4 linked regions of the Rhinolophus ferrumequinum genome follow. The protein of the gene in region 3 interacts with the protein of the main gene of each other region in a pairwise test. Links are inferred from orthologs where the notes say so. Each region holds a gene or a part of one and is shown on either strand. Other genes may lie near its edges.

What was found. The genes of interacting proteins can lie anywhere in the genome.
Region 1: the proteins of HSP90AB1 (region 3) and CHORDC1 interact in binary tests that used the Homo sapiens proteins (3 or more experiments, as listed by UniProt). The link is inferred for Rhinolophus ferrumequinum from reciprocal best matches to the Homo sapiens genes HSP90AB1 and CHORDC1.
Region 2: the proteins of HSP90AB1 (region 3) and CDC37L1 interact in binary tests that used the Homo sapiens proteins (3 or more experiments, as listed by UniProt). The link is inferred for Rhinolophus ferrumequinum from reciprocal best matches to the Homo sapiens genes HSP90AB1 and CDC37L1.
Region 4: the proteins of HSP90AB1 (region 3) and DDX24 interact in a two-hybrid assay, tested with the Homo sapiens proteins (2 studies listed by BioGRID and IntAct, with this or other methods). The link is inferred for Rhinolophus ferrumequinum from reciprocal best matches to the Homo sapiens genes HSP90AB1 and DDX24.

Annotation. Positions count from the first base shown.
Region 1 is NC_046294.1:61,980,533-61,987,423, reverse strand, and holds the start of CHORDC1 (cysteine and histidine-rich domain-containing protein 1), read left to right. Parts: upstream 1-3,877; 5' UTR 3,878-4,016; coding exon 4,017-4,080; intron 4,081-6,891. UniProt on the Homo sapiens protein: Regulates centrosome duplication, probably by inhibiting the kinase activity of ROCK2. Proposed to act as co-chaperone for HSP90. May play a role in the regulation of NOD1 via a HSP90 chaperone complex. In vitro, has intrinsic chaperone activity.
Region 2 is NC_046295.1:31,683,231-31,691,245, forward strand, and holds the start of CDC37L1 (hsp90 co-chaperone Cdc37-like 1), read right to left. Parts: upstream 3,015-8,015; 5' UTR 2,833-3,014; coding exon 2,701-2,832; intron 1-2,700. UniProt on the Homo sapiens protein: Co-chaperone that binds to numerous proteins and promotes their interaction with Hsp70 and Hsp90.
Region 3 is NC_046286.1:13,470,851-13,478,107, forward strand, and holds the start of HSP90AB1 (heat shock protein HSP 90-beta), read left to right. Parts: upstream 1-4,239; 5' UTR 4,240-4,399; intron 4,400-5,259; exon of another isoform or gene 5,260-5,395; intron 5,396-5,812; coding exon 5,813-5,959; intron 5,960-6,258; coding exon 6,259-6,465; intron 6,466-6,570; coding exon 6,571-6,730; intron 6,731-6,891; coding exon 6,892-7,025; intron 7,026-7,144; coding exon 7,145-7,257. UniProt on the Homo sapiens protein: Molecular chaperone that promotes the maturation, structural maintenance and proper regulation of specific target proteins involved for instance in cell cycle control and signal transduction. Undergoes a functional cycle linked to its ATPase activity.
Region 4 is NC_046289.1:9,015,250-9,022,167, forward strand, and holds the start of DDX24 (ATP-dependent RNA helicase DDX24), read left to right. Parts: upstream 1-3,904; 5' UTR 3,905-4,047; intron 4,048-5,431; 5' UTR 5,432-5,436; coding exon 5,437-6,151; intron 6,152-6,918. Other genes in the region: interferon alpha-inducible protein 27-like protein 2, read right to left, coding at 1,077-1,223, 2,239-2,316, 3,712-3,793. UniProt on the Homo sapiens protein: ATP-dependent RNA helicase that plays a role in various aspects of RNA metabolism including pre-mRNA splicing and is thereby involved in different biological processes such as cell cycle regulation or innate immunity.

The sequences.
Region 1 (6,891 bases), on a different chromosome or scaffold from region 3:
CAATGAATATATTTTTAATGCATATGTTATAAATAAATAAATTTGATGAATACACATTTATATTTTAACATATAATGTATATAATAAATATATTTAAGTAATAAATAATAAAGGGCGGCATCAGTGTGGAAGACTAGTACATAAATGCTACTACATTCTCTGACAAAGTGAAAAAAACATAAATAAAATGAGAGGACATGGAAGGAAGAAAGAAAATGAGATTAACATTGACTACTTTACAGGAAACAACTAAAAGTCAAAGTGAATTATATCTGACAAAATGAATAGGAAAGCCTAAGTAAGAAAAAGAAAGAGGTAATTATATGAAAGTATTAGTATACAGGAAACCACTTGAACAAAAACACAAACATTCCTAAATACCAAAATAAAGAAAATTAAACCAAACTAAACTTGCCAAAATAATCTGTCTATTGCAGTACCCTATTCAAATTTCTTTGTCCTTGTGGGGCTATATACAGAGGGTGCCAAAAAAAAAATAATGTATACACATTTTAAGAAAGGAAAAAGTGTATTAAAATTGCAATACTCAATATATACCAGTAACAAAAGATGAATACAAGTCGTGTATACATATTTTTGGCACCCCTGGTATACATTTCCTTCACCACAATTTTAGTGGGATCTGGAAAAAAATGGAGGTAAAGGTATATGTCCAATATGACATGACTAATCAAAATAATTGAGATGACTTTTTAAGCTCTGAGACTGGACTTCCTGATGTAGATAGGTGGCCAGGTCAGGTCTATAACTAATCCTACATGGGATTCAAGACTCACAACTGATCAGGAAAGAAGATGCCAGATGACTGCTCATTGCTGGCTATGCCTTGTCTCCGGCTTGGGACAATAGGTGGACGATGGTAATTTGCTGATTGTTTACCAACTTCCATCCAGCTTCCAAAGGCCCCTACCTGCAAATAAGCTAGAGTTTCAAGTTATTTGTCTAGTCAACCAATCTACCACCATCTGCACCTAATTTGATTATTCTGTTAATGTTTTGTATGAAAAGGTATGCTATATCTAAAAGCTACATTACTACTGGGAATGTCAACTACTTAAGTATCTAGTCCTCAGATTCCTGTGATATGGGAATAATAAGACGGAAAGGTACATAAAATAAATGCATTGCTTTATGAATCATTTCAAAGTGAGCATCCCCCACCTAAAGAAATGAACTATACCAGTACCTCAGAAACATTCCCCTTTCCTCCCAGCTCCCTAAAATGAACTATTATCCTGATAGTCATGATAATAAGTTCTCTAGTTTTCATTATGGCTTTCTCATGTTAGTAGGCATTCTTAAACATAATAACTTGTTTATGCTTGTTTCTGAAACGTACATAAATGGATTACACTAAAGTTATCTTTTACCCCTTTGGCTTTTTTATTCAACATTATGTTTTTGAAATTCATCCATTTCATTTTATTTGTAGTTCATTCATTCCCTTTTTTGTATCGTATTACATGGTATGGCTATACCACGATTTGGACATACCTTTTTATAGTTAATTCATATTTGGATTATTTCCAGTTTTTGACTTTTATAAATGATGCTATTCTGAACATCTTGCATATAGTTCTTGACGTCTTTTTTATCATATTATGATTTATAAAAGACAAATATTAGAAACCACTTCGATGGCAAAAACAGAGACATGCCCATTATTGTCTAAGAAAATATTGGTATTTGTAGCAATAGGATTGAATACAATTCAGTCAGACTATATCCTTAGAACATTTTATATAAAAAATCGTTTTCATTTATTGAGCTTCTACCATGGGCAAGCCAATGCAGTAAGAGCTTTACATGTTATTTAAATACTTTTAATGCTAGCAATATTTACATGCTCTATACAAAATTATTATTTACATTTTACACAAGAGATAATTGAAGCCAAGGGATGTTCTGAGATGATTAAAGTATTTTAGCTCTATATTGCAGATCTGGGATTTGAATCCTGGTGTGATTCCAAAACTCCACTCTTAACTATAACACTGCTTTTATAACATGAATAATCTCAAAATACTGATATGTAACAGTACATGTGTTTGTGTGTGTTGGGGGTGAGCTGTCAGGAATTGAATGTAAAGGCTATATACATTATGTATGTTACCACCACCAAGTTTCTTAAACAGAGCATGGTATTCCTGGTACCTGATAGTCCAATAAATGCCTGGGGTGGGGAGAGGAAACAATGGAAATGAATTTATCAAAGAGTTATTTTAGTGATTCAATACTTATTGCTGGGTGGTGGAATCATTGTGGATTTTGTTCTTAATATATTTCTACATTTTCAAATTATCTACTATAAACATTTATTATTTTCTGATTTTTAAAAAGCTATAGTTGAAAAGAATGACAAGAAACATTAAAACCATTTGCTAATAATCCTAGTAATGTTGCAGTGATGCTAGGATACCAGACAATGGATTTAGCCATAATCAAAACGTTCTAAGCTTCTCCATCTCTCCATTTCTAACTGTGTAAAATTAATTTCTATGGTCTACTCCCCGCATTCACAGCTGGTAAAATTGCAAATTTGTACCATCTTTTGGAAACAATTGGCAATATATATCTTTAAAATCTTGAAAATTATTTTAAAAGGCTTATGCTGTTTACTCTAGTACTGCCACTTCTCAGTAATTATCGTGAGGGGAAAACCTAAAATAAGAAAACAACATACAATAAATAAGCATATATATGTACAATAAAATTGGTGAGGTTTAAAGAAGAATGGTTATAGTGCAGTTATTCAACAGAATACTACTTCATCATTCGTGATTATAAAACAAAATAAAAAAAATACTCATGTTAGGTTAAAGGAAGGCGATACAACATTGTATATATCTATGTTGGGATTACTACATAAAAAATTAACACTTCTAAATATAAAGAAAAGAGGGGAATATGGAAAAATGAGAAGGCTTTTTTATTGGAGTTGAAGGATTGTGAGCCAATCTCTAACAGACTTGGTTGGGATTACTGGAAACATCGTGTAACTTTCTATTTCTACATAGAAACTACTGATAGTGAGTATTTTAAGGTTGTTCTGTATACTTATCTAAAAGCATTTGCTTTTATTTCGAGTGCCCCAAGTTTGGGAAGTATACAAGTTGGAGCTAGTGTTGTGTGTGCCTGTTAGTGTTATACTTTTTACAGTGCATTTAGTGAAACCTTTAGTAAGGTTCCATGATTAGAAAATTAAGTATCGATAAATTAATTAAATGGAAGCTAATAGGAAACAGCAACAATTACCCCAAGGTCTTAAAGCAATAGCGACCATTTCTAGCACTGTGTTTGATCAGTACGTTTTTTATATATTCTGACCTCTAAATGCTTTGTATTTTCACAGTGACTTGACCTCAATTCGTTGTTAAAATTGCCTCCAGTGCCTTCATTTCTCCAGGGCTTCAGAATCAGGACAGTGGAGACAAACTCACACAGGAGAGTCGTCCAACACTCCTCTCATCCTTTACTAAGCAACCACGTTCTACGCAGAGGATGCGGGAAAACTGCAGGATTCCGCACTGAAACTCTCCAGCAGCTAGGGGACAAACATTGCCAAGGCTGCGTAAGCCGGCTCCAAAGGAAGAGGCATGCTCGGACGCGGGGCCGCGACAGCAGCATCTTGCTTCGCGAGAGACCCACAGCCAACGAGGGGCGAAGGACTCTGGACAGCAGGCCACGCCTCGGCTACCTTCACTTCCTGCCCTTAAGGTTTCTCACTACGAAGAGCGGCGCTCCACCTCCGGCCCCGGCCGCCGGCCGCGGGCGTCAGACCCACAGGACCCCGCCGGAGCCCCGCCTCCTGCCTCTGCCTCCGTCTCTGCCCCTCACCTCTGCGCCTGCGCGACCGGAAAATTCGCGAAGGTTCCTGAAGCGAAAGCGGTCCTTTCCGGAAGCCGGCAGCCGCCCCAGCCTTCGGACTGGTGGTTGCAACGCAGCGTCTTGCGGTTGCCGGCTTTTGGGCCGGACTGGTACCGGTGGGGAAAGACATGGCCCTGCTGTGCTACAACCGGGGCTGCGGCCAGCGCTTCGATCCCGAGGTCAATGCCGACGGTAAGAGAAAAGCGCCGCCAGCCCTCCCTCCCCTCCCCGCCGCCTATCGGGGGACGCCCTTGGGCCAGACGGGGTCCCGGGGTCCTCCCGCGAGCCGTCGCCGCTCTGCCCCGGGTCAGGCTCCCCCCGGCCGCCCTCGGCTGCCCTGGGAGCCGCCCGCCGCCTCCTTGGTGCGCGGGGCCCCGGGGCCCCGGGGCCGGCGCCCGTAACGGTGTCTGCCGCCGCCGGAACCCGCTGAGCCGCGCTCCCCGGGGCCACACGTGTTTCCCAGCGGTTCTCTCACCCAGCAATTCGCCTGGGATGGAGCACCTCCGTATCCCCACGCGGTCTCTTTGGGGAAGCAGAAGGCATCCCGGGGCGACGGGTCTCGCTCGGAGGTTGATTTGCTGTGAATGAGAGTGAGTGTGGGACGGACGGACGGACGGACGGACAGACAGACGGACAGACAGGTGGGAGGGTTGGACAGCGGGCGGGTTACCCTAGCATGTTAAGTTCGGCCTCGTTGTATTCGTATAAAAGTCGGTCTGAAAGCCTTCTGTCGGCGTGTTCAGTAGACCCACTTTTACAAACTTACTGTCAAAAGGAAAAAGGTGTACTTGGTTAGGAAAATTGTCCTATATCTTGACGCTGTGAAGTTTTGATATCCCCGCCCCGGGGGGGGATACATGGGTTCTCCTTTACTTACTTAGTAGCGGTATTTGTGGTGGGTATTTTTGTTACGGCCGCCCAATTTTAATACCATGCCATCTACAGGATAACTGAATTATCTCCACTGGACCAAGGTGTCAAGTTAATGATGTAAAGTGACAGGTAGTGACTAGACCCGGTGAAAAATAGAAAATGACCAATGAACTTCGATTGCGATTTGTGAAAGGGATGAAGTAGCAGCATTTGTCGTGTTTTCTATGTGCCAGTCTATCACTTTATTACATTATTTCATTTTAATCTTTACAGCCCTATGACGTATGCATATTAGAGAAGCCGAGTTCAGCATGGTAGCAACATTGGTCTTCATTGTGAAAGAGATTAAATTCGATGCCTTTTAAAGTCCTTTTCACCTTTGAGATGTCTGAGATATTTACCTTAGTGCACAGGTGAATTGGTGACATTTAAAATGGTAAGACCATTGGCAGGATTCTGAGGAAAAGATAAATCCAGTCTTTATACAATACTCAAGTTACTGTCATTGACAATTTTATATTAATATGAAGTTATTCACTGGGAAAATAGTGAGATTTCAGTGAGTGACATAATCGAGGAATGCAGGATTTTAAAGCCCTTTGCTATTGGTAGTCCAAGTAACAAGTAAGTTGCCTTAGTGTCTGCACAGTATTCTAATAAAGGCAAAAGGTTGATGCTCTGTTGTACCGGACAATATGTTTATTTGTAAGGGTGTTATGTACCAGCGTAAAATTAAGAGGTGATAAAGCCACATTTTGGAAGTTGGCTCTGCATGTGAAATGATACAGTACTTAGGAAAGAGAGGAGAGGAGACAGGAAAGTCAGGAGTGGACATTCTCAGGGATTGTGTGTGATCAGCTACCAAACGCGGCTGGGAGCGCCAGTAAGGTAGCCGAAACTTTATTTGCTTCAGCAAATGGAGTCATTTTAGAGACTTAGAATAAATACTCCAAGGAAGTCGGTTGACTGAATGGAAAGTTAAGCAAATGGAGATAGGGAGGGAGTAGAAGACAAGAGTTAATGGCAAACTGTGGACTTGGTTAAGAGAAAGTTTTATACAATGGGAGAGGATGGACCTTACGTGTTGACTAAAATAACGAGACTCCCTTCTAAGCTGATAGGACATTTTAGTTTGAAACACAGCTAAATGAGTTTAAAGGAAACATGATTGGAAACTTGTATATAGTTAAACTGTTACTCTGGAAAAAGTACCACTTCACAAACAGTATTTTATTTAATCCAGTAAGCATAGGAGGAAACTGAAACAGCTACCAAGAGACAGAGGCAAAATTTGAGCCAGGGTCAGACCCACTGTTAAAAGCCCTTGGCTCTTAACCACTACAACTATAACGTTGTAGCTTCTTACCCTTAAAATATTACTTTGAGCTGAACTGCTGGTAAACTTTATATAAAGAGCAGAGAGGAAAATGTCCATCTGCTTGTTATTTACTCTTGAAAGCAGTGAATTTTTGATGTTCATACTATAATAATTGTATGGTTAAGACCTGACTCACTGCTGCTGCCATTCTGCCAAAACTGACTTATTATTGTGCCTCTTGCTGTGTTACACGTTATGTGTTTTATGTCTCTGGCTATATGTAAATTTGGTATTTAAAAATACTCTGTTCTCTGCTTTGGTTCCCCTCTCTCAACTTCATAGCCCTCTACATACTCATGTCTACTTTTTTCCAGCCCTTAATTCCATTACTACCCTTAATTGATAGCTTAATTCTAATTCATGGGTTTACTTATTGTACCATGAAAATACTTGACACTTTCCATTCTCTAGCATATTATCTATGTAACGCAACACCTGGTTACTAACTAAGGAAACCATATTGGTTATTAATACAGGGGTAGGGAGATTTCCTTAAGTACCAGGAATTAATCATTTTAAGGCAACACCAGCAATCAGAGGTTGTAGACAATTGAAAGCTAAGTAGGCATGAAGGTTGAGCAGAGTAGCCATATAAGAAAATTATGCAGGTGTGGAGCTGACTTGTTTTTCCTAAGTTCAAGGTTCCCTCAGGGAGTAAGTGTGTCTATTATCTGGTATTTTTTTAGACATAATACTCCATGCTGCGAACTGTAATAAGCCCATTTTCATAAGAGTTAAGTAAAAATTGATGA
Region 2 (8,015 bases), on a different chromosome or scaffold from region 3:
CCAGCCCCCCTCCCCCCGCCACATTAAACTCCTATCTTCCTTCTAGATTCTGTCATCACATCCTTAAATTTTCCCTTATCCCTTCCCTCTTCACCCAAGTTATGCATACTTCTATAGTGGTGTTGTCACTCAACGCTCAGCTTCTTTGGGGCTAGAATTCAATAAATCTTAGATGAATAAATGCCTCTCTACTTCATGGAACAGACTAGTGGTGGTCAAGAACTCTGCGCCAAGCTGCATGCAAGGCCCATCCATACTTCTCATCTAAGTCTTCTGCAGGGAAACTTAGATTTCTACTGGGGCAAACGTGGCCATTGTTGTTACTCAGATGTTTTAGTTACTCATTTAGCAGGTTTGGAGCCCAAGCACCACATGGCCCTAACTAACCAAGTAAAGTATTTATTGTTTTTTGCTAACTTAGAATCCAGAAAAAGTGTAGACTAGCTATGCTTAAGGGGCCAGGAAAAGGAGAAAAATGAAGCTATAAAATTTATATTGTAAGAAAAGACAAAGATATACTAAGAAAGGAGATATGGACAAATGGATCTTGCATTTTCGAATCATGTGGGAGCAAATTCTCAAATCATTTCTCAAATCAAACACAGAAATCTTATCTCCAAATTCTAAAAATGATTTGTTTAAATTCTTCTCCACAGACAACATTTGGCCACTTGAACAAACTATCCAACATGTATTGAGATGATTAAATAAAGTCATATTTTATCTGTGAATATATTGAGGTTTCAAAGGGGTATTAAACATCAATTTAATGAACATAAATTTGAAAAAGGAATTGTTAGCATTAAGATCTACTAATGTAACTTTACATTAAAAAACACACACAAAAAAAAACCCTTTCAAACTGACCTCTAAATTCCATACTGCCTTTACATTAATTGGATCTCAGATCTATACATCACATATGACGTTAAGATGTCTAGAGTCCACATATTTGGTAAAATTAAACCAAAGCTGTTTTTATAAAGATTATAAAATGTTTATGAATTGAATTAAACATTTGATTATTTCCAAATATTTCAATCCAAAACTTAAGTCCTAAAGCCAGTAAGACAAATAAGGTTATAAACATATGAATGGATTTAGGATTAGAAATCACAAGTTTTAACATCATTCAAAAGTAGTTTCAGCCAAATAAGGGTTTACGTTACATCACAGGATGGACAGTGCAGTACGTTGGAAAAAACACTGTACTAGGAGCCAAAACTAGGGATCTAATTTCAACTTTGCCACTCACTAGCTGTATGGTCTCAGGGAAATCACTTTTAATGAAGGAGATAAGCCTCTTCACTTCTAAAATTCCTTTCAGCTAAATAAGCTTGTAATTCCAAGTGTACAAGTAAAACTTAATACAGGTATTTTTAAAATTGAGTTTCTTAGGCTATTTTTGTAATTCAACCACAATGCACTGAAATTCTTCTATCCTCTCCATATGCCTTCAAAATAACAATGGCAGCTGCTGTTCGTTCTCTCTGTAACACATTCATTATGTGGTTATATAACATATTTTGTATATAAAGATGACACTAGTGATCCATTATTAGTGGGTGACTACTGACATATCAACTCTCACTCTGTCCTCCTAAAAAATGTCTTGCACTTTCCCAGTGACTGGCTGGCCAAAGTACAGTCTGTGGTTATGAAACAGCATTTTCTGTGTGAAGCCAACCCCCATGAGTTGGGCATTCAATCGATGACCCTACACTTACTGGCAAATGATTTAAATCGCTCATTTTCATTAACAGCTAGCAAGATGAGTTTAGAGAAAAACTGTATTCATTCAGTTAAGCTCTTAGGAACCCCATTTTGCATGAAACCTTGAAAGCAGACACTCAGAATCCGTTTCATTTAACATATTGGTGTTTAGTCTGTGATCCTGAAATATACTTCCAAACACACTCAGGTTAGGAGAATAACCAAGACAAGGTGAAAATAACCAGGACATAAGCAATCCCTAAGATAGGATCCAAAAAATCCTTAAATGATGTATCACATGTAGATAAGTTTCAGAGGAATGAATGCTGGTGTGAAAACCATGAGTAGCATCAGGAATCTTAGGAAGAAGTCTGAGGGAAAAGGCAAACGTGTGGGTAGATGTTTTTACTGGAGAATGAAGTGAAGCAAAACTAAAACAACCGTTAGGGGTAAAATGGTCACACGAATAGGAGGATTTACGCCAGCATCAAAAGCGAGGTTTAAAGAATTTACTTAGATGTCAAAAGTCAGTGTAATTGGATGAGAAATCTTTTTAAGTCAGGAGCTCGGTGAATGTTGAAATACAACCATTCACTGCTCCTATCAACTATGCACAAGTATTAGAGTCTTCAACAGAATAAAACGCTCGGATAAAAGCACGCACAAGAGGACAAAGGGTCAATGTTAATAACATGAGCCGCCCCCAATCTGTCAGGATGGGGGTGGGGAAACGTCTTCCAAGGGTGAGATGGAATTGGCCACGGTGAAAAGGTGTGCGAGGAGGTGGAGGTTGGAAATACATGGCCAGCCTCTCTTCGAAGTCCTTTGAAGATGCTACAATAGCGGTAGGATGGCATCAGGCCCCCGATCCCCACGGCTGAAGTGGAGGCTCAGAACAGGGCACAGAAGAGGGTCGCAGAGACCGGACTCTAGGGGCCTGGCAACGGCATTTCTCCTTCCCCTAGCAGAAAGCGGGCCCCCTCTCACCTGGGCGCCGCCGCCCGGCAGTTGTGGGCAGCGGGGAGAACTGGGGGACACGTCCAAGTCATTCTCTTCCTCTGCCTCACCCTCTGTCCGAGGGAGGTTCCAAGGTCCTGGCGGCGGCCATGGCTGCTCCATGTCCGGCTGCCCCAGGCTCTATAACCCCCACTGCCAACAGACTTGGCGTCAGTGAATCCAGCTGCGCGGAGCCAGCCGCCCCAGCGGGCCGGGGCCGTTACCCAGAATTCCTCTGCTGGCCGCGACGCCGACGCACGCTCCACACTAGCCTGGGCCGCGCCACCGGCGGACGGCGGAAAAAGACGGACTCCACTCAGGACGTCACTTCCGGCTTGGAGGGCGGGGGCTTGTGAGGTGTGTCCCGGGGCCTCCCTGTAGCGGGTGCGTTTGGAAGTCTTTTAAAACTCCGTTCTCTGAAGGCTTTCAACGCTGCCGACTTACCCTAACGGCACTACGGGTCGTGTAGTATTGAATACTTGTTGTCTAGTGTTCCCTACGCTGTAAATAGTAGTGGTGGTGCTCAGACCAAGTGTCCACTTGTTTAAAAACTGCAACTCATTGCTGTGCATTGATACTGTAAGCCAGTATTTCTGAAGCGGGGTTGGGAGGGAAGAAGGGAGAATTTTGAAAAGCAAAGCCAACTTCCCTGTCATTTCGAGTTACAAGCAACAAGAACACTACAGAACTTGGCTAAGAGGAGGACGCCAAAGATGAAGAATTGGGCCAAGCACCAATTTAAAAAATTAAGACGAGTACCAATAGCGAACGTACAGGGAGGGCTTCATATAGTTCTACATATCTCGTTTAATCCGAAATATTTGTTCTCTGTCCCCCTTTGTAGAAGAAGAAATAGACCCAACATGCCAAGGTCACACATACTAAGGGGAAGAACTATGATTAGCCAAGGGAATCTGACTTCAAATCGTGCGCGTTTAACAATCAGGTATTGCTGTCTTCAAAGAGTCCTAAAAACAAGACGCCATTTTTTCAGTCTTATTTGGCAGACTTTTGAAGTTATTCAGTACTGAGTGTTGACAAGATGTGAGGAAATGGATTGGCAGACTTTTGAAGTTATTCAATACTGAGTGTTGACAAAATGTGAGGAAATGCGGTTGGAGACAATGTCGTTTGTGTAACTTTTTGGGAGGGGCACTTTGAGTATCAGAGAATTAGGTGCTTTGATTCAGCAGTTTCACTACCAGGAAATTATGCAGCAGTTATTTTTGCACCATTATGCAATGATTTATCAACAAAGATGTTTACTGCAGCATTTTTTTGTGGCAAAAAACCAACAAAAAAAATGAAACTAATTGCCCGTCAATAGAGAAACTTAAATGAATTATGGTTTATTAATACAGTGGGATGTTAATCAGTCTTTAAAAAGAGTAAAATAGATATAAATGTGCTGATACAGAAATATCTCCAAAATGTGTTGAGTTAAAAAAAAAGTTGCAAAATTAATTTTGTGTGTGTGCATATTTATGGAGAAAGAGAATGATCCAATTTGTGTAAAAACGTGCGCGCGCGTGTGTGTGTATACACGTATATGCACATGTATATGGAAACCTCCTGGGGAGTAGACAAGAAATGTTAATGATTACCCCTGGTGGGTAAGGCTATGAGGAAAGGTTCTGAGCATCTTTACTTTCCATTCGTACCTTTCCTGTATTATGCTGTTTGAATATTTTCCAATGCATGTATGTTATACCTTAATAATTAATTACAAATAAAAGTTGAAAAGCACGGTGCCTAAACCTTTTGAGCTTATGAGTGAAAGCCACAGAAGAAAATAGGACAGCAGCTAAAGCACAAAGGAGAGGAGGCAAAACCAGTTTTATTCACTAGTAGCTTTCATTTAAAGTGACGTCTATTACATTATATTAAAGTGACGTCTATTACAAGTTACTTTAAATTACTTTAAAATATTTCTCAGAAATTTCCAGTGATGTTACCGTATATATCATCGGCCAGAACAGGCTTAGGTAATTATGATTCATTCCCTGGATCTAGATGCATTGCCATCCAAGCAAAACTGGGGTTCCATTAGCAAGGAAGAAGACCTTATTGTGATATTAGGTACTCAAATCACATCGTCTGCTATAATTGTTTAAGTTCTTGTGATACCTAGTGCCAGCCTAACTCTTGGGTGTCATCTCAACCTCCTCTACTGCCTTCCCAGGTCTCTCTTAGTATGCTCATTAGCCTCCTTTCAGTTCCTCAAACATACCAATTTCTTTCCTGACCCATGGCCCTTTACATTCGTTGCTCCCTTTGTCTGGCTCTCTTTTCTCTTAGTTCTTTTAAAAGTCGTGCTAGTGGTCATGCTTTTCTTTTTAGATCTTAGATCAAATGTTATACCATTAGAGAGGCTGACCTGCCCATTGGGTCTAGATTAGGTTCTTATTCCTTCTCCAACCTGTAACCTATCTCACCCCCTGGATATTTCCTTCCTAGCATTTGCCATACTATTATTATTTATGTTCACTTATTTATTGTATTTCTTCCTGCACTAGAATGTAAGGTCTACAAGAGCATAGATTGTTTCTTGTTCACCCTTGTATACCTCCATTGTCCAGAACGGTACCTTGCACATAGTAGGTACTCAATAAATACATGCCGAATAGATAAATAGGGAACTAATGCATGGAAACAAGGATAAAAGGAAAGGTGTAGGATTAAATACAGACAGAAAAAGGTAAAACCAGGATGGAAATGGGTATATTTTGGTATGAGAAGAAAGGGTGGATATTAATAATATCAGAAGTAGCCTCATCTTAGCTATTGCTGACTTTAGCTATTTCTAAATCCTGTGCCCAGGCACAGTGGACACTTTTTACAAGCCTTGGAACTAAATCATACTATTTTCTACTTTCTTATATTGCATAAATATAATTCCTTGGAAATTGCTTTGGGTCATAATTGGCCTAGTACTCCCATGGACATAGAACTAACCAGCTGAAACTTAAAAGAGCAAATTAGTTTTTCCTGAATAGAAATTACCTTAAAATGGAAATATATGGACTATATAGTCCAGAATGCCCAAGGGCAGCCCTTTTGGAAGGGTTTGTGTGGTATTGCTAAGTAAGTATGGAGCCTGCAAATCTCAGTGAGTCAAAGCAGAAGCCAAAGAGTAACATATGACTTTGACACGTGAACTCAAATAAAGTTTGTGAAATACATTCCGTGTGTGGGCCCAGATCCCAAATGACTTAAAGATTGTTAAAAGCTGTTCAGTAGCAATTTAATTCCTTCCTTGGAAGCATTCCTGCTACTTGGAGAAAATTCTCGAGAAGTATATATACTTAAAGAAACACTACTCAAATTGCCAGCTCCTATTTGGACATTCATGCAGAGAGACCACTATTCTTGTAATACAGTGCTTCTTTTTTCCTTAAGTGGGTTTCCCAATGAATTACTTGTCAAGTATTATGTACCATAATAATTTTCTTACGTCATCTGCATTTCAGATGAATAGATCCACCATATTTTGCTCTTTAAATGTATGTAAGACTTCTATTGAAGGGAATTTCGTAGTGATGCCACCAGCAATCCTCTTGATGGGTTATTATAGGACAGAAGGAGGTCCCCATAAAGATATGATTACTCTTATGACTTAAGTATGTGTTAAAAATTTTTAAGTTGTTATTATGAATATTTTTAAATACACAAACGCATAGAATTATGGTAAACCCCATATATCTGTCACTCAGATCAATTATCATGATTTTGCTACATTTGCTTTATCCATTCCTTTTATTCATTTTCTGGAGTATTTGAAAACAAAATTTTAGATATTAGATCATTTCTACTACATACCTTAATGTGTATTTCTAAACAATATTGTTATTTGCCTTACATAAACACAAGGATATGGTCATACCTATCAAAATTACTTGCTTGGTATTATCTAATATTCAAACCATAATCAAATTTTCCTCGGAGTCTCAAATATTCTAGTTAAGTTGGTTTCTTTGAATCAGGGTTCCAACAAAGTCCACATATTAGATTTGGTGGCCGGGTCTCTTAAGTATCTTTTCATCTAGAGTGTTTCCCCTTCACCCTTCCTTTGCTTTTCAATGTCATTGACTTGTTGCAGACTAATTGGGTCAGTTGTCCTATAGAATGTCCTATGTTCTAGATATGTCTGTTTGCTTCTTTGTGGTGTCACTAATACGTTTTTCTATCCTCCATATTTCCTTTAAGTGAAGTTAGCCCTATAGCAACACTGCTCAACAGAAGTTTCTGTGATGATGGAAGTATTCTACTTGCACTACCCAATACAGTAGCTACTAGCCACATGTGGCTATTGGGCACTTTCAATGTGACTAGTGTGAGTGAGGAACTGAATTTTAAATTTTATTTAGTTTTAGTTAATTTATATTTATATCTTATGTATAATAGTGAGATTTCACCTTGTCAGAGAGAGTGGCCATAGGTGGGATATGTAAATCAGTGTACCTGTGCTAATGGGCACATGCAGTGGGTGACAACTTAGGTAATGGGTATAGAGTGAGGAAAGGCAAGGACCAAGAAACATTGCTTAGACAGGTAGAAGAGGATGAATAGAGACAGAGAAAGAATGGCTAAAGAATTGGAGGGAAACCAGAAGAGGGCTGTGCTCTAGGTGCCAAACAAGGAGAGTCCAGTTATATCCAGGAGAGTTCAGTTAGGCAAGGAGAGTCCAGTTAAGGCTAGGGAGAGCACAGGATTTGACATTGTGTCTCTAGGATGTCTGTGTTGCAGGGGCAGTGATATGGCAAGGTACACCTGGATTCAAGTGTGGCTGCTTCCCTTCAGCTGTGTGGCCGTGGGCGAAAGGCTTTGTGGCCTCAGATTCTGCATCTGTAAAATAGGGATAAGAGCATCTGCTTCAAAGAGAGGTTATTGTGGGCATGAAATGAATTAGCATATGCAATATGCCTAGCACTTCGCAGCTTCTTAATATAAGTCAATTCTTCCCTTCCATTATGTCTCTGATCTTATTTTTTTAGTCTGTTTTGGTTGTCACTCTCCTTGATATCTTACCCTTGGTGTTGGTGAGTTACTTGTGAAGGTCAACACGGGTCCTTTCCCCATATATCACTGTACGGGTCTGGGTGCCAGCAAGCTGTTGTGAGCTGACACATTAGTGCTCTGGATACAGTAGGGAGCCAAGCACCCACTTGTGTACCTCTTGGTACACAAGGATTGTGTAAGGACACAATATACCCTCCTTCCTCACACTGAGTTTTTCCCTTCCATGGAAAGGAACTCCAGTTACCTAAATAAATACCTCATTCTCACATCTTTCTGCACTTGCATTT
Region 3 (7,257 bases):
CAGGCTGGCCGTGCAGACCTGCTCAATTGTCTAATGTACGAGTATCTGAACATCAAGTCTATAGCTTTGTGAGGATGTCAGTCCAGGGTATTCCATATGGAATTCAGAGATGTAAACCCTATGGAACTGGAAAGGACCAGAACTGACAGAACACACCTGGCAGGTGCTGAGCTTGTTCTGAGAGCTAAGGGTCCAGAGCTATTCCCCATGCTGTACAATCCCTGATGTCCTGATGCCCCCTGGGTACTTTGTTCACCCATTGCCCTTTATCTGAGCACCCCTCAGCAGCCTCCTACATGCCCTTCAAATGCCAGTGGTGCTGCCCAACTAGGAGATCTCTCAGTTTGAGCAGCGGCAGGAGGCCTCTGCCCAGCCTGAGTCTCCAGGCTCCCTCCAAGACCTCACCTAGCGTTAGCTAAATCAGGGGTCTGCACACCTTTTCTGTAAAAGGTAAGAGAGTAAATATTTTAGACTTTGCAAGCTATGTGGTCTCTGTCAGAACTATCAACCATGGCATTACACCACGAAAGCCCCAAAGACAACATGAAAACAAATGAGCCTGAGCATGGCTGTGTTTCAGTAAAACTTTGTGGACACAAATTTAAATTTCATATATTTTTCACATGCCAACATATTATCTTTTGATTTTTTTTCCAACCATTGAAAAATGTAAAAACCATTCTTACCCATAGGCCATACAAAAACAAGCAACAGGCTCACTAGCTGCAGGCCATAGTTTGTCTTGTTTCATGTCGCCGCCCTCCAATGGCAAAAGGTTGGGTTGGGTCTTTGAGGCCAGGTCAGGAATAATGGATATCTAGGGAACATCAAGCATTGCAAGTACTACTGGGAGTAGGATTCTGGAGATCGGGGGAGGGGGGGTTTAAACCATCTTTAATAGCGGCCAGTGGCTTCTCTCACCCTCAGTCAAGGTCAGAACTTCTTAGTATCGCATTTGGGGCCTTTTCTAAACCTGACTCCTGCCTGCAGAGTCACTTTCAGCTCTTCCTGCCTTCCTCAGTGGTTCGTGGACTATGGTCCCTCTGTCAGGGTTGTGCCTTGTTTTTCTCTTAGACTTGCACTGTGGCCTGGCTAGCCATAGCCCTAAGCCTGCCCCCTTCCCTGGGCTGAGTTAGGAGTCTCTGACCTGCTCCCATACTTCTATGATTCACATTTGGCCTGGGGCAGTCCCCAGTAGCTAAAGACTCCCTGTCCTTACGCATTTCTGCATCCCCAGGGGAGGCTCACAGTGGGGTCTTCCTGAGCATCAACGAGTGGGAGAAGACATCTTGGAAGGCTTCAGAAGAGACGTTGGAATGTCTGTGTTGGTTCAAGATTTGAGATTTTTCCCATTAGAAAACCTGAGTAGTCTCTGGTCCTGATAGTGATTCACAGGAGTGATTGCCGCTCTGCTTTGGACTTGTGTCCTGAGAGGGGAGACAGCTTTCCCACTCCATTTCTGTAGCAGGGTTGCAGCAAGGGAGTTAGCGTAGCAAAGGCTCTGAGCTGACTGACCCTGATGTAGTCCCTGAAGCCTTCCCTTCCCAATCCCTAGAATATGCAGACTCACTTTTACCTCTTCACAGGACTGTGAGATGTTGTGAATGCTCGTTGTGAACTAGGAAACAGATTTGTAATTAGCTAGGTCCCTTCTGCCCAGAGGGAAAGGGGGTGTGTTAAGGGACTATGCTCCTAGTTTGAGATTTCGATCAAGGACAGAGACTCTTGGAGCCTTCCTGGAAGCAGCACAATGCCTTTTCCCATACTCTATTACATCTCCCAGCCACAGGCTTCTCGCAGACCAGCATGATGGGGTGTAGATGGGTCAGGAGAGATGAAACTGGGGTGTTGGTGGCAGGGGTGATGAGGTCTGGGATGTGAGGCAAGGAAAGCCAGGGTCCTTTGTTCTTTGGAATTCCACACACGAACAAAGAAAATATGAAGGAAGGAAAGAAAACTGGGCACCAAGGCCGGCGACAGAGGACTTCAGGTGGTGTTGGGGGAACACCTCCCCAGCATTGCAGGGACAGACAGAGTGGGTCAGGAAGGGAGTTGATGGACGTCCTCTTTGGTGAGTCACAAGGTCACAGAGCAGGGAGTGGCCATTCTTTCCTGGAGAGGCTATGGGTCCAGCAGCCTTCCAAGATAAGGCCTTAGAAAGGCAAAGACAGTTTGCTAGCTGGAGGGCGTGCAAAGTTGCAGAGCCGGGTGAGGCAAGGCAACCTGCAGCTCTCCGGGCATAAGGCGTCACAGCTGAAGGAGGACAACTTGGTTCTGGACGTCTGAAGTGGGCGCTATGGGCCAGTGTCTTCATGTGGTCTCCAAAAGGCCCTGCCATTCTGCAGGTCCCCTGGAGACCCTCCCCTCCCCAGGTGTAGGTAGCTGCAGAAGGAGGGTGAAAAGAAACAAAACCAGATTGAGAAACAGCTCTATGTGCTTACAAGGTGTGATCAAAAACTACGGTGAATGTTTAAATTTAAAAAAAATTATTACAGTAAAAGACACATTGGCATTAATACCCCTTGCTTTGAACACACTTATCCCGTGATTCTGGCCACTTTCTGGAGCATTTCTGGAAGTCCTCTTTGGTGAGCGTCTTTAGTTGCGCTGTTGTGGCTGCCTCGATGTTCTGAATCGATTCAAAATGTTTTTCTTTCATAGTCATTTTGACTTTGGGGAAGAGCCAGAAGTCACACAGTGCCAGATCCCGTGAATAAGGTGGATGAGGACACACCATAACGTCTTTATTTGACAATAATTGCCGTATACCAGAAGCGATGTGTGACACAGAGCGTTGTCATGATGGAGGAAGAAGACAATGGCAATGTGTCTTTTACTATAATAAATTTTTTTCCTGTTCGGTTCCCCCTTTCCACCTCTCCCCCTTCCAGTTCAAGCCGTTGTTTATCAGTCTAGTTGTGTAGGACACAGCTTCCTGGCCCATGCTGGTATTAAGAGCCTTGCGCTCCCCCCAGCTGAGGCAATGGGGTCATCAGTTGGCAGCTCACAGCGGCTCATGCCTGCTCAAGGCAGCCCAGCTCCAGGGAGAGCCGTTGTTCACAATCTTAGCTGTAGAGGGCGCAGCTCACTGGCCCACGTGGGAATCCAACAGACTACCTGGGCATTAGGAGTACAACGCTCCCACCACCTGAGGCACCTGCCAGCCCCAACACATTTTTTTAAATTTAAACATTCACTGTATCTTTTAATGACACCTCGGTATGCAGGGAGGTAACACGTCTCTGCATTCCACACTTGGTCAGCAACAGAGGCTGGGTCCCAGCCAGAGGGAGAGTCCCTCCCGAAGCGACCTATCTCGGCTCGCTCCAGGCAGCTCCTGCAGAGCAGGGTGCTGTGTCATCGATGAGGGACAGGAGCAGTCAATCACTCCCTTTGGGCTCCATCCCACCCAGTGCCAAGCTAGGTGGACCCGGTAAGTTGGATAGAGGGTCCCGCAGGCGGCCTTCTAGAGTACAGGGGATTGGAGCAGCCCACCCTCTCCCGAGTGACTCTGGTAGAATTGTCGCGGCGCCACAGAGACACCGCCCAGGCCGCAGCGGGCGAGGCGGAGCCTCGAGGGAAGAGGGTGGGGCGAGGGCGGGGCCGCCAATTGGGGTCTGGAAACTGCTGGAAGCGTCGCAGTACTGCCGCTGTCTCTCCTTCCGCCGCAAAGAGTCCCTCCACCAGTCTGGGCCGGCGCCACGCCCCGCTGCGAAACGCTGGCCCTTCCCCCCGCCCACCACCCCACAACCACCGGAGAGCCGGAGCCGGCGGCTGCCCGAAGTTCAGCCTGGAATTCTGTACCGCCCCAGAGAAAACCCCTTATCGGGATGTAGGAATGTGCAGAGCAGATTCTAAGAGGGAGGTCCATCTAGACTGGGAGCGGAGGTCGGAGTGATTGGCCACCTCCATCCGCCCCTTTTTAGGTGTCCCTCAAGGCCAGGAGTTAGCAGTGGAGGGGCCTGCCCCACAGGTTTTAAGGGAAATCAGTGGGACCCTCGACCCTAAATCCACCTGGATCATCTAAGCATTCCCACCCAACCTCTAATTCTGGTGGGGTCACGCCCGTGAAGTGCGGAGATGGGGATACGTAAGCCAATAAAAAAGTGTGCGCCCCTTGCAGACACTGAGAACCACTGCTCCCGCTCTTCACTGTCTCCGCCCCGATTTTGGCCATGACGTCAAGGTGGGCGGGCGGCAGCAGGTGCGGAGCTGACAGACATCCTGCTTTAAGGCGGAGGGATCCGTGGGAGGGCTGTACTTCGCCCTATATAGAGCGACTAGGGGGTCACACAGCCCTTCTCTTGAGTTACCCCCACGCACGCTTTCAGCGGTGTGTGAGCCGGTCACAGTCGGTGTCCACCTTTCTCCCTAGTACTTGCATCTCTTCACCTTTAAGGTAAGGCCGCACTTTTCTCTTTCAGCCTTTTCTGTCTCTGAGCGTATTTCGTCCCTCTTTTCCCTTCCAAAGGCCCGATTTTGTTGTGCTGGGCTGCCTTTGGGATGCCACAATTTCTAGGTGGGTGGGAGGGGGTTCTCGAATGGAGCTTGTTTTGCCTTGTATGCTTAGGCGGCGGAGTTTCCCCCGGGCAACGACTAGCCTTGGCCGAGGTGGGCCGCGGAGTGGCCTTGGGGTAGTGGGCTACTGCACGTGGTGGCTGCGCCGGCCCGGGACGCTGCCATCTTTGCCCCTCCATTTCCGGACCGCGGCTACGGGGCGCTAGAGGGTCCGCAAGGGTTGTGGGTGTGCGCGCTCGGTGTGACTCAGCACAGCCTGGTGCTGGTCTGGCTGTGCCACCTGTTTTATTTAGACGCGTTTCTCAAGTCCGTGAGGGTCTGCGATAAGGAACGCTTTGGCCCTCTACTGGCCCACCGTCCTTCTAGATCTTTCCTGTATTCGCGTGGAGGAGGGGAGGAGGCGGGTTCTGGAAGATTCGTGGGCTCCTAAACCCCCGCCCTTCTCCGAGAGCTGAGATTGTTCTGGAAGCTTCTGGAGCCCGGCGCCCCGCCCTGGTGCCCGAATGCTGGAGCGCAGGGAGGCTGCGCGGCGGCACCCCGTTTTCGCGTGGCCCTGGCCGACGCATGTCCGGTAGTGACGAGGGTCGATCCGGTAGACCACGGCCACCATCTTAGTTGTGTTTAGGCCTACACTTGAGTCACGTGAGCCGAGGGGTCACGACTGTGCTTTTGTTTTATCGGCTTCTTTGTCTTAATAGTCCCCCTCCCCTCCCGGCGGGTATCCCACCGATCTCGGGTTACCCTCCCCTACCACGTGAGTCAGCAATCCCGTGCTCGGGCGAGGTAGGAGGTACCTACTTGGGAAGCAATTTCACATTATTGCCATTAACATAAAACGAGTGACCGGGTTTTTCTCCTTCACCTGGACCAAAAAGAGGTAATAAAACTGTGGTTAGTGATTTCTACATTGAAACGTGCGTGTGGATTTCCTGGAATTCTTAACTTGAGATACGTGGGTTGGGGGCCAAGATTCTGCATTTCTAACAAGGTAACCCGGTGATGCTGAGGCTGCTGGTCCGTGGAACACTTAACAGTAGTTTGATTTCCAAAAAACCTGCTTTTCTGTTTCGTTGAAGAACGTGTTGGCTTCCCAGCCCCCAAATGGTTTGCGACTAAGGGTGCAGTCTGAAATCTTGAAGAAAGCAAAGCCTCTTGGGGAATGGCTAGGTGGTACCTCACTCAGAGCAGTTTGAACCAACTGTCTCCCAGTGTTCACTGTGATTGGGGTTTGTTTTGGGAGTCTTAAATTCAGGGCCATTCCATTCTTTTGTAATTCTTGACTCTTCTTATTTAGATGCCTGAGGAAGTGCACCATGGAGAGGAGGAGGTGGAGACTTTTGCCTTCCAGGCAGAAATCGCCCAGCTTATGTCTCTCATCATCAATACTTTCTATTCGAACAAAGAAATTTTCCTTCGGGAATTGATCAGTAACGCTTCTGATGTGAGTGCTGGGGAAGGGGTGTTCGGGGCTGGATGTGTTTTTAGCAATCCGGAAAAGTGATGAGGGGTGGTTTGGCATTTTTGTGGGGCCTGCTATTGAAGGGGATAAACCTAGCGTTCCAAACAGGTTTGTCTTACTCTCTGGATAGATGGGATAGTGTAACTAACTGTATGTGGCTTTGAAACTTCAAAGGGTATTCAGAATTGAAGCTATTGAGGAGTAAAAAATGAAGTTTTTTATTGGATGAAGAGTTGTGCTTTAAGAAAGCAGCATTGTAAAAATAAAATTTGTATTTCCAGGCCTTGGACAAGATACGTTATGAGAGCCTGACTGACCCTTCCAAGTTGGACAGTGGTAAAGAGCTGAAAATTGACATCATCCCCAACCCCCAGGAACGTACTCTGACTCTGGTGGACACTGGCATTGGCATGACCAAAGCTGATCTCATAAACAATCTGGGAACCATTGCCAAGTCTGGTACTAAAGCATTTATGGAGGCTCTTCAGGTGTGTGGTATTTTAGCTAGGCACACACCATCCGTGTTTATCTAATGTTCTTTGGCTTGCTGTGGTTTTCGAAATTTGTTTTGACTTTTTAAAACTTTTTGGCAGGCTGGTGCAGACATCTCCATGATTGGACAGTTTGGTGTTGGCTTTTATTCTGCCTACCTGGTGGCAGAAAAAGTGGTTGTGATCACAAAGCATAATGATGATGAGCAGTATGCCTGGGAGTCTTCTGCCGGGGGTTCCTTCACTGTACGAGCTGACCATGGTAAGCTGGCTTAACTGTAAAAGTGTCTGGCTTAGAATCCAGGGGAAATTTAAATAGACATCTTGAGTGTCCTACCTGTAAAGCAGTTTCCTTTCACTACAGTTCTACATTTAGTTTCTTTTTTTTTTTTTTTAAATGTTCCATTGTGATTGACTTTGTAGGTGAGCCCATTGGCCGGGGTACCAAAGTGATCCTCCATCTTAAGGAAGACCAGACAGAGTACATAGAGGAGAGGCGGGTCAAAGAAGTGGTGAAGAAGCACTCACAGTTCATAGGGTACCCCATCACCCTTTATGTGAGTATGGGCTGGAAACTGTCAACACATGATGTCTGCTCTGGAGAATTGCGTGGTTCCTGGTTTTTTGTGATCCCTGCTGCTCTGTACTCTGAAACTATTGTCTTTGGTACTTTCAGTTGGAGAAGGAACGAGAGAAAGAAATCAGTGATGATGAAGCAGAGGAAGAGAAAGGTGAGAAGAAAGAGGAGGATAAAGATGATGATGATAAGCCCAAAATTGAAGACGTGGG
Region 4 (6,918 bases), on a different chromosome or scaffold from region 3:
CTCACCTGGTTTATTTAAGCAAACTCAATATATTTTTGGAATTTGCTGGGGGCCAATTAAAAATGGATTGCGGGCTGCAGTTGGCCCGCGGGCCGCAGTTTGGACACCCCTGCTCTAGAGCATTTGAGATTTTGCTCCCTAGCATATGTCGTCGGTTTGACTCAAACAAACTCTTATAAAAAGTCTCTACAGGTTTGGACGTTTCTTATGTCAACACCACTTATAAGAGGTCCCCAGTGGAGTCAAATTCATAGAGACAGAAAGTAGAATGGCGGTTGCCAGGGGCTGGGTGGGGGAGGACGGAATGGAGAGGTCTTGTTTAATGTGTAGAGTTCGTTTCTGTGAGATGAAGAGTTCTGGAGGTTGGTCGCACAATAAGGCAAATATACCTCCTAACACTACAGGACTGTACACTTCTAAGTGGTCAAGTTGGTAAATGTTATTTTGTCACAATTAAAAAAAAAATAGAGTGCACCTTTTCCTGCCCCGTTCCTGGGCTGGCCCCACCCTAGAGACGAGACTGCTCCGTAAGGGCTTATCATCAGAGTAAATGAGCAACCAGGCCCTGGGGCATCAAGGAGGAACAGGACTGGAGAAACGAAACTCACTCAGGCCTTGGGTGCTGTGGGCCAACAGGTCAGGGCAGTGACAGGGAACTTGAACGGGCAAAGAGCGGGGCCTGAGCATGAGCCTGCTAGCTGCCCAGGAGCCTAAGGCCAGTGTGACTGGGCTCTGTACCACTTAATTGATGTGACCTGGCACTGGGGGACCTCGGAGAGTGACATACCCCTATCCCTGCACTTTGGAACAAACCGATCAAGGCCCAGAGAGGGCTCATGACTGGTTCTGGGTTACCCAGCAAGTCAGCAGCAGAGCCAGGGCCTGAAGTGTAGTCCCTCTGACTCTAGAGCTTCATGTACGTCATCTCCCGTGTACACCGCGCCCCTCTTCTGACAATGTGGGTGTAGTAGAGGGTCCATCGGGGACTGGTACGTGAATGCTGACAACTTAGAAGACTGAGCTGAGCAGTGAGGGTGAGGTGACGTCTGGTGGACTGGTGCCCAGGGACCAGTTACCTGCAGTGCGGGAGAAATTCCTGCCTCCATCTTTGGGTGGTGGGTCTGTGGAGTCAGAGCCATGTCCATCTGGCCCCGGAGGGGGCCCCTGTGGTGGCCTCCCAGGAGTAGAACCAGCAGAGGATGACTGGGGGGATTCATCTTCCTCTGGAAAAGAAGCGGGGTGGGGGCACAGAGAGGGGGCGGGTAGCTGTGAGACCAGAGGTCGAGGCCCCCGGGCCCCGAGGAGGGCAGAGGCCCAGAGGCCCCACAAAGCACCTTCTGACATTTCCTGATGCTCGCGAGAACTCCGATGTGGGAATGGGACATCAGTGACAGCAGTGCTGAGGTAATAGGAACATTTGGAGATGAACCCAGGTACAAAACAGAGAGAGGGAGACCTGACCACCAACTGAGAGCGGGCAGGTCCCTCACTTCACCAAGGGGTAGGCTGAGGCCCAAGATGGAAGAGACTTCCTCAGATACAATGCACCTTAGTAGCAGCTCCAGGCTAGAACCCAGACCTCCTCTGCCTAGGGCCATGGCCCCCAGGCCCTGGGCCACCTTACCTTCCAGAGCTTCCCTGAGAGCACTCACCATCTGACTGAAACTCCTGCAGGAGGGCATCAGCAGCAAGTCCTTCATTCTCTATGGCTTTAGCTGACATCTCAGAGGCAGTGTGAGCACACTAGGTACACAGCCTAGAGTTACCACTATTTTTCCCAGAAAGGGTGTGTGAAAACCAGAAGAGCTGTGCCTGATTTGTGATGGATTGTGGTATGGATGGGGACACCTCTCCATTGCCCTGAGCCCTGGCCCCTCTGTCCTATAGCAGTCTGTGGGCCACTCCCAGCACCCCCCCCCCCAAATCTGCACAGACTGCAGCTTTTTCAGTTAAGGACTTTGGCTCCCTGATCTCCAGGATTCTATTCATCTCTAATATGTCACCTCTGTCCCCTGACTATTGCCCCATACCCAGCCTAAGTCTTAGGGCTTGACAAAATCCTGGGTTGGGACAAGCCCGGTTGCTCCCAAAGTCGCGGGGTAAATGTGGGCTCAAACCCCTTCCCAGCACACTCACCTCTAGTCACAGTGACAGCAGCTCTGAATGGCAGCAAAGAGGGATGCTATGAGTGGAGTCCTGGTGCTCCCTCCCTTCCCCATTTCCCGGGCCCCTGCCTACCTTGAGGTAATTGCAGTTTTGGAAATCCTGTGTGTAGTATGGCTCCTGATGACTCCAGCAGGCATATATAGTTCCACCCTGGATGACGTCCCACCCACGTGGCAAATGAGACAAATGAATCATTCTTAATCTAGGCTGGTAGACCTAACCTTTGCCTTGCAAATGTGAGGATTGGGGGAGTGTGGGCTGGTCTACAGGATAATCTAATCTCAACACATCCCAATGCACCATATATAATACTCAGTTTCTCTAATCCTCTAATGGTGGCCGCCTGGTTTGCATGGCAACAGGAGAAAGCTTGGGTTAAGTCAGAGGAGATGTCCACACAAACCAAGGCATATTTAGAACCCTCACCCACAGGGAGAGAGCTAATATAATCAATTTGCTAATTTTGCATTGGTTGGGAATTCTGGTGGATGGCCGCAGACTCCTTTGGTAGTTGCCTTGGGAGTTGTTTAGAACACAGAGGACGTGCTGCTACTGCATTAACCAAGTCACTGTATTTCAAGGGCAATCTGGCAACCCTGGCAATGTGCCCCCCACCCAGGCAATGCAATGGCCACTCTATATATTCAATGTGCTATATTTACTGAAGGGTTAGTTGCTAGCGCTCGTCTCTGAGCTAGGGCATCAGCTTCCTGATTGCCAGGCAGTGTCAGTGCTTTATGAGCCAAGACATGGAAAACAGTAAGGACCCAAATGTCTTTCCACGTATCGTGATCCCACAAAGGCTTATTCATAGTCATCTATCCCTCTGTTTCCCATTGTCCAAGCCACAGGGTTAATCCCTTTAGAACAGCCCAACTGTCAGTGCAAAAGGTTAATGAATGACCAGGGCTCCCCCTCCAAGGTGTGTAACTGGCCCAGAGGAGACAGGAACATTTAACCTGCCATGAGGGGGGTCATGCGGCCCTTCCTTCTCACTCTCCCATTGAGGACTGCTCCGTTCCCGTTATCAGATTTCTTCAGGCACCACTTGGGCACAGGCTCTATGCTACCCAGACTCTTGGGGACACACTGTCAAGTTGCCCCAAGAAATGTGTTAAGCTCTGTCCCATGGTGGCTCCAAGCTGGTGGGGAGGCTCACTAGATCTGCACTTGGTGAATTCCCCCATTGTCCTTTAGGACTTTCCAAGGTCACCAAGCAGTCTATGAGAAAGGTTCCCCAGATGGTCCCGCGACACCCACATGAAAAGGTGATTATCTATTGTAAAGCTAATTTCTCTGCATGTAACAAAGCAGCCAGTTTAGCTTGGTGATTAAAGCCTGGGCTTTAAAGTCAGGCGGACCTACCCTAACCATCATTGAGCAATAGGAGAGGCATGAAAAAATTGCGGAAAATGGCACCTCCAACATAGGCTGGTTGGGTTGTAAATTAAATGCTGAAATTTTGCAAGGCCCCAGGCATACAGTAGGTTTAACACGTCGACAGTCACTGCACTAAAACTAGACCAAGAACACAAGAATGCTTACGTTTCCGTGCGTGAACTAGCGTAGAGCCCTTCTGGATGTAGCACAGAGCCTTCCCCCTGCTGCGTAATCCAGGGAGGGCCATCGCCGGCGAAGCCAGATTTACTGCCCCCAGGGCGGTGCACTACCGCACTGCACAAGTCCGCGGTCGAGCGGCAGCGAATCAGGTGGCGGCGTCTAGAGTGGGGGCGGGACATCCTGCCGCACCGCGCCCGCGTGCGCGAGTATAAGCCCCGCCCCGGAACTGCGGTCGGCGCTGCAGCCGAGGAAGAGCTGTGGCGTTTTGTAAGGCGGTTGTCCTGCCGGCGTCTGTGGGAGCCGTAGCGGCGTGTGCTCACTGTGAGTACCGGTGCTGGAGCGGGGGCCTGGGGCCGGTACCCGAAAGGAGCTGGGGGCGGGCTCCTCGGCGCCCATGTCGGGCCTCTTCAGCTCACTGGGTTCTCAAGTCCAGAGAGGCGGCTGCCGGCCCGGTCAAGCAGCCTGTCGACCCTGCGCCGGGTCCCCTTCTGTGGGTCTCGGGGCTCGGAGGCCTCGTCTTTCCCGCTCCGTGCGCCTGTTTATGCGTGAGCGGAGGCGCTAGGGCCAGTCACAGGGCTGGACGCTGCGAGCAGGGGCCCCGCTTGCTCTGCAGGTCGCGCTCTGCAGGTCGCCCTCCGCGTCCCGCCCATGTGCGTGACCATCCCCAGTGCCTCTCATCACTGAACTCCAGTCGTTGGTACTTGGGGCGGTGAGGTTCGCTGGGTGAACCTTCCTGCGTGCCGGCGTGCTCAGCCTGCGAGGCGCCATGCTGAGCGGTTTTTGACGTGCGTCACCTTTTTGTATTAGCGTAAGCGTGCCCGGAGACAGAGCCTCATCACCTGCGTTTTACAGACGAGGACACAGGCGCAGAGAAATCAGTACATTCGCCACAGACTCAGAGTTGGCGAGTGATGGGCCGGCTTTGAACGACGGTTCGTTCACCTTTGTCTTTCTCACAGGGTCTGTTATTTTTCTTAACCTTTCTGAAAGGGGAGAACAAGGATCCAGTTCCACTCGAACTGTGCTACTGCTGAAATGGTTTTTAAATCACTTACAATGTAATGAAAAAGCTGTACGGGATGGATGGGCTTTAAGCCATTTGGCAAAGGCCAGAATGGTGGCGCAGGCATTTAGATGTTCTTGGGGCAAGACTTGAGGAGGAGAAAGCTCTGTTCACTTTGGATAAAGCTGGCCTCCTCAGCCGCCCTCAACGCCCACCCCTGAAAAAAAAAACAAAAAAAAACCCAAATTCTCACTCTGCCTTCCATGTGGCTTGGGTATCGCAGCCTTTATCCTCCATGCTTTCCATAATTTTATTTATTTTTCTAAAACATTTTGTGACTTAGGTATTATTAGGCCCCTCCTTCTCTCAAAGAGATGAGAACACTGAGGTTCAAAGAGGATTAAGCAGGGTTTCCCAAGGGAACACAAGCAGTTAAGTATTGGATATGGAATTCAAACCCCATCTAGCTCATAAGTCTTTGCTCTCTATTCTGTTCGAGGCCAAGCTATCTGATTTGTGGGTGTATTTCTTTCCTTTTTTGATCTTCTCTAGCTGGGAGCATCAGCTCTAGCTGGGAGCATCAGTGTTCAGAGCCATCTTTGCAGGGTCTGATATCCTGTAGGCTGCTTAGAAAATACTTGTTGCGTCAGAATCCAATGCTTTTCAGTTGCCAGTCTAATCGAACACCTCTCTCCTTTTCAGCAACCATGAAGTTGAAGGACACCAAATCAAGGTCAAAGGCACCAAGCTATGGCAAATTTCAGACAAAGGGAATTAAGGTTGTGGGAAAATGGAAGCAGGTGAAGATTGACCCAAATATGTTTGCAGATGGACAGATGGATGACCTGGTGTGCTTTGAGGAACTGACAGATTACCAGTTGGTCTCTCCTGCCAAGAATTCCTCCAGTCTCTTCTCAAAGGAGGAGCCCAAGAAGAGAAAGGCACAAGCTGTTTCAGAAGGAGAGGAGGAAGGAGATTCTAGCTCCTCAAAGAAAAAGATAAAGTTGAAAAAGAGTAAAAATGTGGAAACTGAAGGAACCAATGCCCAGAAAGACTTTCAGGTCAAAGATGCTGAGCCAGAGCCCCTGGGAGATGGTACAGTTTGTTCTGATCCAGAGATAGGGGAGATGGCATCAGAAAGCCCAGCCCAGGCTATTCCAAAAAAGAAGAAAAAGCAAGGGAAAAAAAAATCAGAACCTTCTCAGGGTAGTACTCCAAACGTGCCGAAGAAAGCAAAGACGTGGATACCTGAAGTGCATGACCACAAGGCAGACATATCAGCTTGGAAGGACCTGTTTGTACCCAAGCCAGTTCTCCGAGCACTCAGCTTTCTGGGCTTCTCTGCACCCACACCAATCCAAGCTCTGACCTTGGCACCTGCCATCCGTGACAAACTGGACATCCTTGGTGCTGCTGAGACAGGTAAGGGCACCCTTATCTGGCCAGGGCAAGATTGCTTCTGGATTGAGCCTGTGGCTGCTAACAGGCTGGATGGCTGGGGAGAGAGGCCGAAGCAATGGTAAATGAAGGTGTTTTAGAAGCCAGCCAGCTCTGGGTTGAAATCTGCCATTTCCTAATTGGTACCCTAGGCAGGTCACTTTATCTCTGTGTGTCGTATAGGCACTATTATGAAATGGAGATAACAATACCTACTTCTTTTGCTGTGTCGGTTAAATGTAAATGCTACAGCAAACTGAAATTTCCACAGTACATTGTGAGTGATCTGCAAATGGTTTTCTTCCTGTTCTTGGGCCTTTTTTAAATGGCTCAGAGGGGTAAACCAGGGCTAAGATCAGCCCTCTGGAGAGGTAGATCTTCATTAGTATAAGGAATAAGTGTCCAACTCTCAACTGTTGTCCGAAGATAAAAAGGGCTGCTTTGGGAGTTGGTGAGTTTATTGTCATTGGAAGGATTTGAATGTGTGATAAATAACTATTGGGTGGATTTTGTAGGCAGATTTGGGCATCAGGTGATTGTTGGGACTAGGCATTGTTTAAAGTTCCCTTATTCCCTGGGCCATCTAAGACTTTGTGAAGCAAGACAGGTTGAGTCTCCCTGGGTGGACTAAACTGCTGACTAGGGGGAGTGGCTTGTACTGCCTGGAACTATTAGTCCAGCTAGACCAGCAGTAACTAATAGAAATGTATATTTCAGTGCCAGTGAGCCACAGATGTAATTTTAAATTTCCT